Linked DNA regions of Danio rerio. The protein of the gene in region 2 binds, or shares a complex with, the protein of the main gene of each other region. Links are inferred from orthologs where the notes say so. Each region holds a gene or a part of one and is shown on either strand. Other genes may lie near its edges.

Region 1 (5,914 bases), on a different chromosome or scaffold from region 2:
ACACAGATGTTGCCGAGTGCAAAAACTGCTAATGTGGCACACGAAACATTCAGCACATTTACTTTAGTAGTTATATCTCGGATTGAAGTTTATTGGAGTTTCTCAGGCAGAGATTTCGATTAGTATTAATGCTGAAAGTGAAAATAAAATAGCTGGGGAAGAAACTTCTTAAAGTAAAAGCAAGCAAAGAAAGTCTTGTCATTTAGTATATTGTTATTATTATGATGCTGCATGGCATAATTTATAAGAAGGGTATGAGGATCAAAACAATGCAATCCACAAATATTTGTAATTTATTTTATTTTATTTATTAGAACTTTTTTGTGAAGAGTTGAGCTGGCCTCATGGCATAATTTATTAGAAGGATATAAAGAATAAAACAATGCAAAACACAAACATTTAAATTTTTTATTTTGTTTTATTTGATTTATTTTAGTCTGTTTGGTTTTCTTTGTAAAAATCTGAATTCCCTAAGGGCGTTATTTATTTGCATGGTATGAGATTGAAAACAATGCAAATTACAAATGTTTTGTATTTATTTATTTATTTATTTATTTTTAATGTTGTGATTTTTGTTTGTTTGTTTTTGTATAAATCCTAACTCTTCTCATGGCATTTTAATTTAATTTAATTTAATTTAATTTAATTTAATTTTATTTTATTTTATTTTATTTTATTTTATTTTATTTTATTTTATTTTATTTTATTTTATTTTATTTTATTTTATTTTATTTTATTTTATTTTATTTTATTTTATTTTATTTTATTTTATTTTAACTTCTGTCAGGCATCTTCTGAGACAGCCAATGAGCAAATGCAGAAGTTTGGCGACAGTGGCATCTAGTGGCCACCTAGTTTGTCGCATTTTCTGAATTACTTTTGAGAAACTTGCAGAAAAGGCTTTGAGCTGAGAGTTTTACTCCCTTTTTGGAACCTGAAATCATTATCAAACAAGGAACGGTTAATAATGTGTAGCCACTAATATGATGAAATTCTTACTGTAATGTAACCTAATACAATGTAAAACGAACAAGCAAAATAAATAAAAGAACGAATAAATAAATGAGCAATTAAAAAAGGAACAAATGAACTAGTAAATAAAATAAATAAATAAATAAATAAATGAAATAAATAAATGAATTAGTAAATAATAAAAAATACACAAATAAATGAACAACTACATAAATAAACAAACAAAAAAATAAATAAATGAGCAAATAAATAAATGAACAAATAAAAAATGAATGAATATATAAATAAATAAATGAACAAATAAAAAATGAATGAATATATAAATAAATAAATTAACGAATAAAAAATGAATAAATAAATAAATGAATGAAAACATAAATAATTAATAAATAAATAAACAAATAAATAAACAAATAAATAAATACATAGATGAATAAGTAAGTAAGTATGTAAGTAAGTAAATAAATAAATAAATAAATAAATAAATAAATAAATAAATAAATAAATAGTTCAACTTTAGGGCCAATTTGATTAACAAACAGAAAAAAATATGCATTTCAAATTGTTTCTGTTGTAATTGTAATTATTGTGCATTATTTTTAGAATCTGCCTTTAAAATATTTGTTACAATTTGTGGATTTTATTTTCAGGAGTTTTAATAAAACAGCATTTGTTTGAAATAAAATCATCTTGAGCAGGTGTTTACCATGTTCTGATCTTTGGGTTTAGCTCTGCGAAAGGCAGCGGTGAATGATTAAAATAATGATTTGGACAGAGATCAGTAGAACATTTCAGGTCTTTCATTGAAGCCTCCAGTTGGACATCAAAGAACAGGCAGAAGTTAACGAACAGCCTTCATTTTTTTAATCTTGTGATATGAAATTCCTCCTTTACCAAAGACTTACTGCAAATGTCTGTGAATTACCGATAATGAGGCAAAGTCTTGGAAACCCTTTTAAAATCCATTTTAAAACAGTTTTAATGTCATTTAAATTTAATGGGCTGCATGAAAAATTCAGAAACCTTAGTATTTAGTTGAATTAAATGAAATAAACTGCAAGAAATTAACTTTATTCTTTTTTTTCTTTTTTTTCTTAGAAGCACTATGAAGTTAGAAAAACTTTAACAGTAATAAACTGATTACAATTATGAAGATACTGTCATACTGTTTTCCCCATGTGGGTTCATCATATCTGAAGGATGAGGCTTCATGTTTTGTGTCTGAATGCTGATTTTAAGGTCTTCAATTGCTGGAGGCTGCCTTCTTTGTGTTAGTGGACATTGCATTCACTCTGTTTGTCCGCTGCTCAGTGCATTATCTTGTTCATAAGGGACTCATCCACGCATAAACATTCAAGCCAGCAGACTGAAACTCTCTCGGACTGCCATCAGTGTGCTGAATTAGTCATTCGGTGCTGGAGATTCATCAGTCAGTGGTCATTTATTATCAGCGGGGTATTATAATGTGGAATGGACTGGATCCTCATCAGCTGACGTTTGGCGGTAGAGGTGGACGTTTCTCTCCTGTGGTTTCACCTCATGATCCTCGTCTCGTGTTTTCTCCACAGGATCTCCACCGGCGTTATGAGGGAGCTCCAGAATCGGCCAAAACCAAGGCTCTGCAGACTGTCATCGAGATGAAGGCAAGTGTGTGTGCGAGTTTGCTTTGTGTGTGTGGTGAGGAAATCACAAACTTTAGTATTCTTTATAATAATAAAATGATAATGGGGTTGTTGTTTTAATACTGTGCATGATGACAATATTGAGTGTGTCCAGGGCTTGACATGAACTTTTTTTGATCACCAGCCACTGTGGCTAGTAATTTTTCAACATTTACTAGCCACGCACAATTTTTAAATGGATATTATTTATGCATAAATTCAACTTTGGCATGCTAAAATGACTTAATTTAGGTTTTGTATTACACTGTAAAAAATGCAGGGTTCCACACACTTCATTCATGTTTTCCCAACACAAATTGATTTGGTTAACTTAACACTTTAAACAAATGTATGTGGATTGAAAAAAAAAAAAAAAAAAGTTGTCCCAATGATATCTCAAGAATTTAGTTGTTTCAGCTCATTTTAAATAACTCGTTTGAGCGAGCAAAATAATATGTGAAGTTTATGTATAAACTAATTATGAGAGGATCAGATCACGTGCTTATGATTGCTAGCGGCTGGATCCGCATTATCCAATTCACAATGCTCCAATCAGACGTCTCCTAAACTACTATAAATACCCTGGGTTTCATTCCACTGTTATCTTCGTTTTGAAGAGTCCCCCCTTCCACCCATACTCCTCCTCCTCCTTCCTAGATGGGTGACACGGTGGCCCAGTGCGTAGCACTGTTGCCTCACAGCAAGAATGTTTCTGGTTCCAGGCTATACCAAACCAGCAGACATTTCTGTGTGGAAATTGCACTTTCTCCCTGTGCTCACGTTGGTTTCCCCCGGGTTCCCCGGTTTCCTCCCACCATCCAAAAATGGCAAATTAAGTTAATTGACTAGTCCAAATCGGCACCATAGACATGCTTCTAGTATGTAGTTATCTCCAAAGAGCAATCACTTACTGTTCATTAGTTACTACAGCAGGGGAGTTCTCGAGATCTACCTGAGCTCAAACTCCCCTCATGCCTTGCAACGAGAGGGAGCCCCGGACTTGAGGATCTCATGAGCTCAGGGCTCTTTCCTGGGACAGCATGCCAAACAAGCTTAATAATCAATTATCAGCTAAGTGTGAACTCTTGAATTTTTTATTTTTTTTGGAGTGAATGTCCCCATGACTACTTATTCACTTTTTATGTGTTTCAAAACAAGTGAAATAGCTGTATACATAAAGGTTTTATTCAACCAAACCGTTCTTCTGATCCAGATTAATTAAATAATTATTTATTAGCAGCTGGCATACAGGAAATAGTGTGTTTTGCACCTTCCTTGTGCATCTATTTGTGTTTTCCTGAAACGTGTGTTTGTGATCTCTGCAGGACTCAAAGATCGGCTCTATGGAGCGCAGTCTGAGGGACCTGGAGGACGAGATTCAGATGCTGAAGTCTAACGGAGCTCTAAGCACAGAGGAGCGAGAGGAGGAGATGAAGCAGATGGAGGTTTACCGCAGTCACTCCAAGTTCATGAAGAATAAGGTAGAGTCATGGGGATCATAGGGAATGTTTTATTATGCTGTAGATTTGTATTTACACATGTATGTATGCATGTATTTATAGTTATATATCAATAACCTGCACCTCGTTTGTTAGCTGTGTTTTGTTGAAGTTGAAGAGTAGGTGTCTTGTGGTGTCGCTAATGTTTACGCTGATGCTAGTGTTGTTATATGGTGTCTATCAGAAAATATGAAATCAGCATAAAATTGCTTACATTTTCATTTTAAAGCAGTTTTAACGTAAATTGAGTTGCATTTTTGTGAATAAATGAACAGATAACTAAATAACTAATGAACAAATAATGATTTGATTATCGTTACTTTTATATGTATCAATACATTTTTGTAATCATTTATTACTTTTATTTTTTTAGTTTATATTACTTTAAATAACAGGTCTGATATTTTATTTGTTATTTTTGTTTATTAAAATTACTTTTTATTTAATAAATAATTAGAAATATTTTAACATTTTGATTGATATTTTCATTTTGTAGAATAGTTGTTATTGAAATTTTAATATTAGTAATAATAGTAACAATAATATTGTTGTTGATGATAAAATAATAATAATAATAATAATAATAACAATAATAAACTAATTATTATGTATTGCCAATAATAATAATAATAATAATAATAATAATAATAATAATAATAAACTAATTATTATGTATTGTCAATATTACTACTACTACTACTAATAATAATAATAAAATAATATTGTTGTTGATGATAAAATAATAATAATAATAATAATAATAATAATAATAATAATAAACTAATTATTATGTATTGTCAATAATAATAATAATAATAATAATAAACTAATTATTATGTATTGTCAATATTACTACTACTACTAATAATAATAATAAGATAATATTGTTGTTGATGATATAATAATAATAAAAAAATAATAATAATAATAAAAATAATAATATTGTTGTTGACAATAATAATAATAATAATAATAATAATAATAATAATAATAATAATAATAATAACAACACTATTGTATATAATCTACATCAAAAACTTGAAATATTTAAAAACTTTAAATGATTTTTTATTATTATTTATTATTATTATTATTAAATATTTTTATGAATTATTATTATTATTATTACTATTGTCAACATTATTATTATTATCATTATTATTATTATTATTGTCAACATTATTATTATTATTATTATTATTATTATTAATATTATTATTTTCTTTTAATAAAATAATAAACATACAGTTTTTTTTTTTTTTTTTTTTTTGGTCACTAAAGATTTACAGCTGGCATGTTTTCTCAAGTCACTGATCATTAACAAGTCTAAAAAAATGTCTCTTTCGAGCCTCGGCTACATCAATTATACCTATAGCATTTTTCTTTAGTAAAACCTCTGCTGACCTTTTCGAAAACCTCTTATTAAAGGAAATTTAATTGCAGCTAAGTGGCGAAATCATAGCCGCATGGCTTGTGAGGTGAACGCAGATCGGTCTGATAACTCTGGCAACATGGGTTTGATTGGCCGCAGGGTGTGTGTCTGCATGCCAGCTGCTGAATGGTGATTGGTGGTTTTTGCAGTAATGCCGGCCTCTCCTGACAGGTAGAGCAGCTGAAGGACGAGCTGGCGCAGAGTCAAACACAGGGCGAAGAGCTGAAAAAACGGGTTTCTGAGCTCCAGCAAGAGGTCTCTGCCGTAAGACTTCCAGAGAAGTGGCTTAGAACACAAGAGCAGCTCTGCTTTTCTGACCAGAGAGATACTCTTGCCCACGCACAGCAGAT
Region 2 (6,636 bases):
CACTCGCTACGTTCATCTGCATTCTGACCATAATTCATTAGGCTATTTATTAATATTTTTATTCATTTATTAAAATATTTTTCTTGATTGATAATTAAAATAACAGTATATACACTCACCGGCTGCAGAGTTGTACACCTGTCTAACTGCTCGATAATGCAAATTTCTAATCAGCCAATCACATGGCAGCAGCCTAGTGTATTTAGAAATGTTAGACATGTGCACGCAGACGTGGTCAAGACGATCTCCTGCAGTTTAAACCGAGCATCAGAATGGGGAGGAAAGGTGATTTAAGTAATTTTGAACGTGACATGTTTGTTGGTGCCAAACGGGTTGATCTGAGTATTTCAGAAACTGCTGATCTTCTGAGATATTCACGCACAACCATCTCTTGGGTTTACAAAGAATGGTCCAAAAAAGAGAAAATATCCAGTTCTGTGGGCGCAAATGCCTTGTTGATGCCAGAGGTCAGAGGAGAATGGCCAGACAGTAACTCAAATAACCACTCGTTACAACCGAGGTATACAGAAGAGCATCTCTGAACGCACAACATGTCCAACTTTGAGGCAGATGGGCTACAGTAGCAGAAGACCACTCCGGGTGCTACTCATGTCAACAAAGAACAGGAAACTGAAGCTATAATTCGCACAGGCTCACCAAAATTGGACAATAGAAAATTGGAAAAACGTTGCCTGGTCTGATGAGTCTTGATTTTTGCTGCGACATTCGGATGGTAGGGTCAGAATTTGTTATCAATAACATGAAAGCATGGATCCATCCTGCCTTGGATCAACTGTTCAGGCTGGTGGTGTAATGGTGTGGGAGATATTTTCTTGGCACACTTGGGCCCATTAGTACCAATTAAGCATCTGGTCATTGCCACAGCCTACCTGAGTATTGTTGGCTACTTACAGCAGGATAATGCGCCATGTAATCAACAGTGAGGTGTACCTATTAAAGTGGCCGGCGAGTGTATAATTATAATTATGTATCATTCAGAAATCACACTTGTGATCATTGGCAGTTAAAGCAGATTGAGGATAAGCATATAAATTTGCATTGGAGATATAATTATTTATCTATTTATTTATTTAGAGATTATGTGATTATGAGTCATTTTAAATCATATGCAAACTAACAATTGCCAGAAAAGTCACATCATTTCATGCAGTGCAATTTTGATGAAGTAAAACGTTTAAAATATCACTTTTTGAGAAGTGTGAGAAGACCACCAAAGGGTGAACATAAATTGTAATCTTTTGCATCAATGGTTTTAAGAAGATCCTTTAACTTCCATAAATAATTTCCAAAGCAAATTAAGTGGTAAAATGTTCTTTATGTTAATAAAATGCTGTTCATGATCATTAAAAGAGCTGTTCACTGGAATGATCTTTAAAAGTTTTGTGGCTTTGAAAGCTCTCTGTTGAAACCAAGAGTATGACTTCAGGCAGATGTTTGTTAAATTCAGCCAGGCTTTAGCTAGCCAGAGCCACAGGGGGTATATTTATTAAAAGAATCATCACTCAGCACATGTGATTACTGTCTCTGTGGCATCTGCACAGTAATCAACAATGATTTCACACCTGTTTATCACAGAAAGCTCTTTGAGTCAGCTGGATCGCAGATTAACACACCTGAGCCAAATTGTGCAAAGTTCAATGTTTTCACAACTACAGTGTCTGGATCACTTGTAGCATCTCTCTCTGTCTGTGTTTATTTCTTTTCTTCCTCTCGCACTGACTCATGAAATAATTGCTGCTCTTATGCATGTTACTCATGGCAATTGTGTACTGAGCGTAAAAGACGGTGTTTTACAACCATAACATCTGGTTTGAGGGTTCAAAATGTTGTTTTTGCATAGTAGATGGATCTTTTTTTTGTTCAGTTTGATTGATGAGTCTTTTTCAGAGACAATGAAATCTGCAGTCATGTCACAAGTTCATAACCTGCAGGTTATTTCTAATGTGGGTTATTTCATTGTCTATGATGTTGGATGTTTACTGTATGATGCCTATCTCTCAGTCACGAGTCATGATTCAGTGCCAGTGATGAATTCAGTAGACAAAACACATCCAGACCCAAAAGTCGGTCACAGATTAAAGTCAGAGTTCGCTCAAACATAAAAAAAGTTTTTCTTCATAAAATCTCAATGTATTGAGTCATAGGTATTACTTTTGTTTTGCCAATACACGTCTTTTTGGCACCACAAATTTCTGGTAGCCATGGGCTTGCATTTTATGAATCACCAAAGACCACAGTTTCTGTTAAAAATCTTCTAGATGTGGAGAAAAACTGTCTCCTACTGCCAGGATGGCCTGAAAATGAGTAAATTAACAGCAAATTTTCATTTCGGGTCAGTAAATGAAAAAACACTATAGCAGTCCAAATTATCAGTTTATTTATCCGCTATATAAGCAAACAGGTATTGAGGGGTTGTAGAGACATTCAAAAAAGATCATATTTTCTATTTTTTGCTATTTATATTTATTATATTATATTTAGTTATTTTATGTAAGACTGCAAATCAGATTCAATAATGCAGTATATCATTACATTATGTGTTCAGGTGATTTTTATTAAAGTTTATTCATTTTCCTTCAGCTCAGTCCATTAATTCAATTCAATTCAATTCAGCTTTATTTGTATAGCGCTTTTACAATGTAGATTGTGTCAAAGCAGCTTCACATAAATGGTCATAGTAACTGGATCAGGGTAGTTCAGTTTTTTAGTGTTTAAGTTCAGTTCAGTTTAGCTCAGTTCAGTGTGGTTTGAAGTCATTACTGAGAGTCCAAACACTGAAGAGCAATTCATCAGGGTTTGCCACAGCAGAATGAACCACCAACTTATCCAGCATTTGTTTTACACAGCAGATGACCTTCCAGCTCCAACCCAACCTCATTCAGACTTATAACACAACGGCCAATTTAGTTTATTCAATTTATAGCGAATGAGTTTGAACTGTGGGGGAAACTGGAGCACCTGGAGGAAACCCACGTGAGCACGGGGAGTACGTTCAAACTCCACACAGAAATGCCAACTGGGTTAGCCAAGACTTGAACCAGCCCTCTTGCTGTGAGGTGACAGTGCTACTCACTGCGCCACTGTGTCATGTCTTTTTGGCACCACAAATTGCTGGTAGCCATTGGCTTGCATTTTATGAATCACCAAAGACCACAGTTTCTGTTAAAAATCTTCTAAATGTTGTTCTATTGGGGAAAAATGATCTCTTACATCCAGGATAGCCTGAGAATGAGTGAATTAACAGTAAATTTTCATTTTGGGTCAGTTAAGGTGACTGCAGCCAAAATAAATAAATAAACACTAGCAGTCCAATTTATCCGTTTATTTACCCACTATAAAAGGAAACCGGTATTGAGTGGTTGTTCAGTGAGGGACACTCAAAAAAGATCATATTTTAAATTTATTCAGTATTTATATTTACAGTTATTGACTGCAATTCAAATTCAATACAGCTGTATAATTACAGCAAGCACTTGGTTAAGTTTTATGAGAGTTCATATTTGCTGTGATGGAAATAAAACTTAGATAAAAAAAATCCACAGCTGGGACAGCAGAAAGACGTCTTTTTTATTTTTTATTTTTTTAACATTCACTTTATAGAAATATAGCCTATTTATTTTAGGTGTCATTACCGATCCGCACCAGACAGAAGAATTCATTACCACCATCATTATCGTGATAATATACCATTACACATATACAATAAAGTTAGTAACATATATACAGGATATATACTTAAAAAATAACAACCAATTTTTCAAGAAATTTATTTCCGGGGACTCCATGCTTAATTTGAGTTACTGAATTTGATTAATTAAATGTTTACTTCGGGGTTTATATTTGCAGATTAATCAAATGACTAATAAAAGGAAAAAAGTAAACTTACCATTGCTGAAACGATGTCTGTCATATCCTATGGCTGTTCCAAACAAACACACTTATTGAAGATGCGTTGCGCTCTTCTCCAAATATACTCTGCGCTTCCAAATCACTGAGAGAAAATACCTCAGATATAAACTCCACCTCTTCGCCGAAAGTTTTAAAAATAAAACTAGCGAAACAATATGATCCAAAAAATGAGTTCGCAGAGTGATTAAACAAGTCCAGCAGTGGCTCTTTGGTGACTTTAAAGGCGCTGTCCTGACTGCTGTCGCTCTTGGCCAGCGGCGGCTCCGCTGTGCTGTGGAATGCGCAACAGCTGGAACCAGAACGTGCGGTGGTGATCTGAGCATGCGTTCTGGAGACCGGGGCGCGTGCACCTCAACTAGCATTGACAGTTCGATGCGCACAAGTCAAGACATTCACCAAAGCAGCAATTTAAAAGGTGTCACATGATCCTCAGCGTATTCTTAATATAAATGCATTTTTTTTTATTTTTAACGGTTTATTTTGTGACAAATTTGATTGACATTATTAATTGTCACTGTTATTATAAAGCTTCTTGCTGAGAAATGAGTAAAATCTACTTTAAGTGGACTGACGGATAGCATACACATTTTAAATGATTTAATTAGTATTTTTGGGCTGCAGTAAAGTAATTTGAATTATTTATTATGTCATCAAACAAATTAATCTAAGCATGTCTGAAACCTTTGTTTGTTTTTGTTTTGTAAACTAAGGTTAATTCATTACATTTTATATATACAATTAAACAGGACACACTAATGTATGGGGGAAATGAATTAAACTGTAGTTTTGATGCTTTTAATGATCTGTTTTTATTTCTGACCCTTGCATAACGATAACTAATTTTTAAAGATTTATAGATTTGTGCTAATCTTATGATGCCAGTTTATTGGGTGCATTTATTGTTCATTTCTACTCACTAATTCCTTCTTTATTGCTTCTAGTCTTGATCAACATTATTTATTTTTCTGACTGCATCATTCCTCACCCACATCCTTAACCTGGCTGCAATGCATGTGGTGAGTTTTCTTGTCCAAATACCCTGAAATAGATAAGATATGATCAAATAAAGCATGCTTCATTTTCAAAAGGATAAGCTCTCTGCTCAGAATATTCACTGTAACACTATTTGTTTTTAATTAACAAACACAGTTTACAATTTCTGTAATAAATTCTTACTCTCCTCCTCCACCACTCACACCCTTCATCAGTTTGTGATTAGTGATCATGTGTCGCTGAAATCTTTTGGTAAACAGGATGTTCCAGCGCACGCTCACCCAGTTTTCTTTATCTCAGAAATAAGATGAATGGCGTTTGCTAAACAAACAGGTAAAGGCTCAATATATAATTTCTGTAATATTTCGATTTTTACTTTTAAGGGTAAAATAGTATGGCCAATAGTCTTAAAATACATGATTGATTAAAAAAGTTAATCATAATGCAAATTTTGATTACTCACATGCCAAAATAACAAATATTCTTAATGAGTAATTACACTGTAAAAATGCTGACTTTCACACAATTCCTTCATGTTGTCCCAACACAATTGTTTTTACAAATTTAAGTGGATTGAACATAAAACGATTAAATTGTCCCCAAAAAAACAAGTTTTGTGTTGATTCAGCTTATTATAAATCAGTAGTTTGAACAAGCAGCAAAAATCATGTTGTCTCATGTTTGTTTATCAATACCAGTGTACAATTGCATCACATATGCAAATATAGTCTCAATAACAGAGATTTCATTGGCTGTTGGTGATATCTGACACATTGACATGCTCAATCTTTATGTTGGTTTCTTTAAAGGCTTTTTCCCATATTCAGTGTGTATAATGCAAATTTCACTGGACTCGTGCACACACGGTACAGTATATATATATTTTTAAAACATGATCAATATGTAACCCTGAAACAAAAATGTACAACTATTATTTTTTTGTGTGCCAAATATGCATTTTATGGGTAAAAATGTTCACTTTGTCTTTCATGTCAAACTCATAAAAATATTAAGTTGCATGTTTTTATAACAATATTCTGTAAATTTCCTACTGTAAATATATCAAAACTCAAGTTTAAATATGATTTTCTCAGCATTTCTCAAAGCCTGGCTTTAAAGATATTTGTTGACTAATTGTATCGCAAGTAGATGAGGGACACATATTTATATTTACACTAAGTGTATAAACAGTGGTGGAAAGAGTACTGAAAAATCATACTAAAGTAAAAGTACCACTACTTGCCTAAAAATGTAACGCAAGTAGAGTAAAAGTATCTGTTGTGAATATTACTCAATGTATGAGAAAAAAGACCTTTCGAAAGTACTTAAGAGTATGCTGATGCATTTACATGTCATTTGTGGATGTGTGTAAAGGTTACATTTTGTACTGCATTTAGATATTGCCCAGCAGGCACACAATCTCATAAGACGTTTGGGTTAGAGTTAGGTTGTGTTGTCGGGTGACCAAAATTCAATGTCTAGCCAGTGTCTAAAGACAATGTTATTTTGATATCCAATAACAATGTCAAATAAGGTTGATAATTGGTTGATTTTAGGTTAGAATTTGACCAAAATCGTACGTGCAGCCAACATCTTAAACCAACGTCATACTGACGTCAAATACTGACATTTATTCATCAGGTATGGCAACCAAAATCCAATGTCTGATAGGGATCATAGTGGTAATGACAACACAACATCACGCTGGAACAT

Evidence for each region. The genes of interacting proteins can lie anywhere in the genome.
Region 1: phldb2b (region 2) and erc1b share a complex: the UniProt entries of both Homo sapiens proteins name them as parts of the cortical microtubule stabilization complex. The link is inferred for Danio rerio from reciprocal best matches to the Homo sapiens genes PHLDB2 and ERC1.

Annotation. Positions count from the first base shown.
Region 1 is NC_133179.1:8,748,884-8,754,797, forward strand, and holds part of erc1b (ELKS/Rab6-interacting/CAST family member 1), read left to right. Parts: intron 1-2,540; coding exon 2,541-2,615; intron 2,616-3,958; coding exon 3,959-4,114; intron 4,115-5,735; coding exon 5,736-5,819; intron 5,820-5,914. UniProt on the Homo sapiens protein: Regulatory subunit of the IKK complex. Probably recruits IkappaBalpha/NFKBIA to the complex. May be involved in the organization of the cytomatrix at the nerve terminals active zone (CAZ) which regulates neurotransmitter release.
Region 2 is NC_133199.1:29,127,720-29,134,355, forward strand, and holds the start of phldb2b (pleckstrin homology-like domain family B member 2), read right to left. Parts: upstream 4,201-6,636; 5' UTR 3,932-4,200; coding exon 3,908-3,931; intron 1-3,907. UniProt on the Homo sapiens protein: Seems to be involved in the assembly of the postsynaptic apparatus. May play a role in acetyl-choline receptor (AChR) aggregation in the postsynaptic membrane.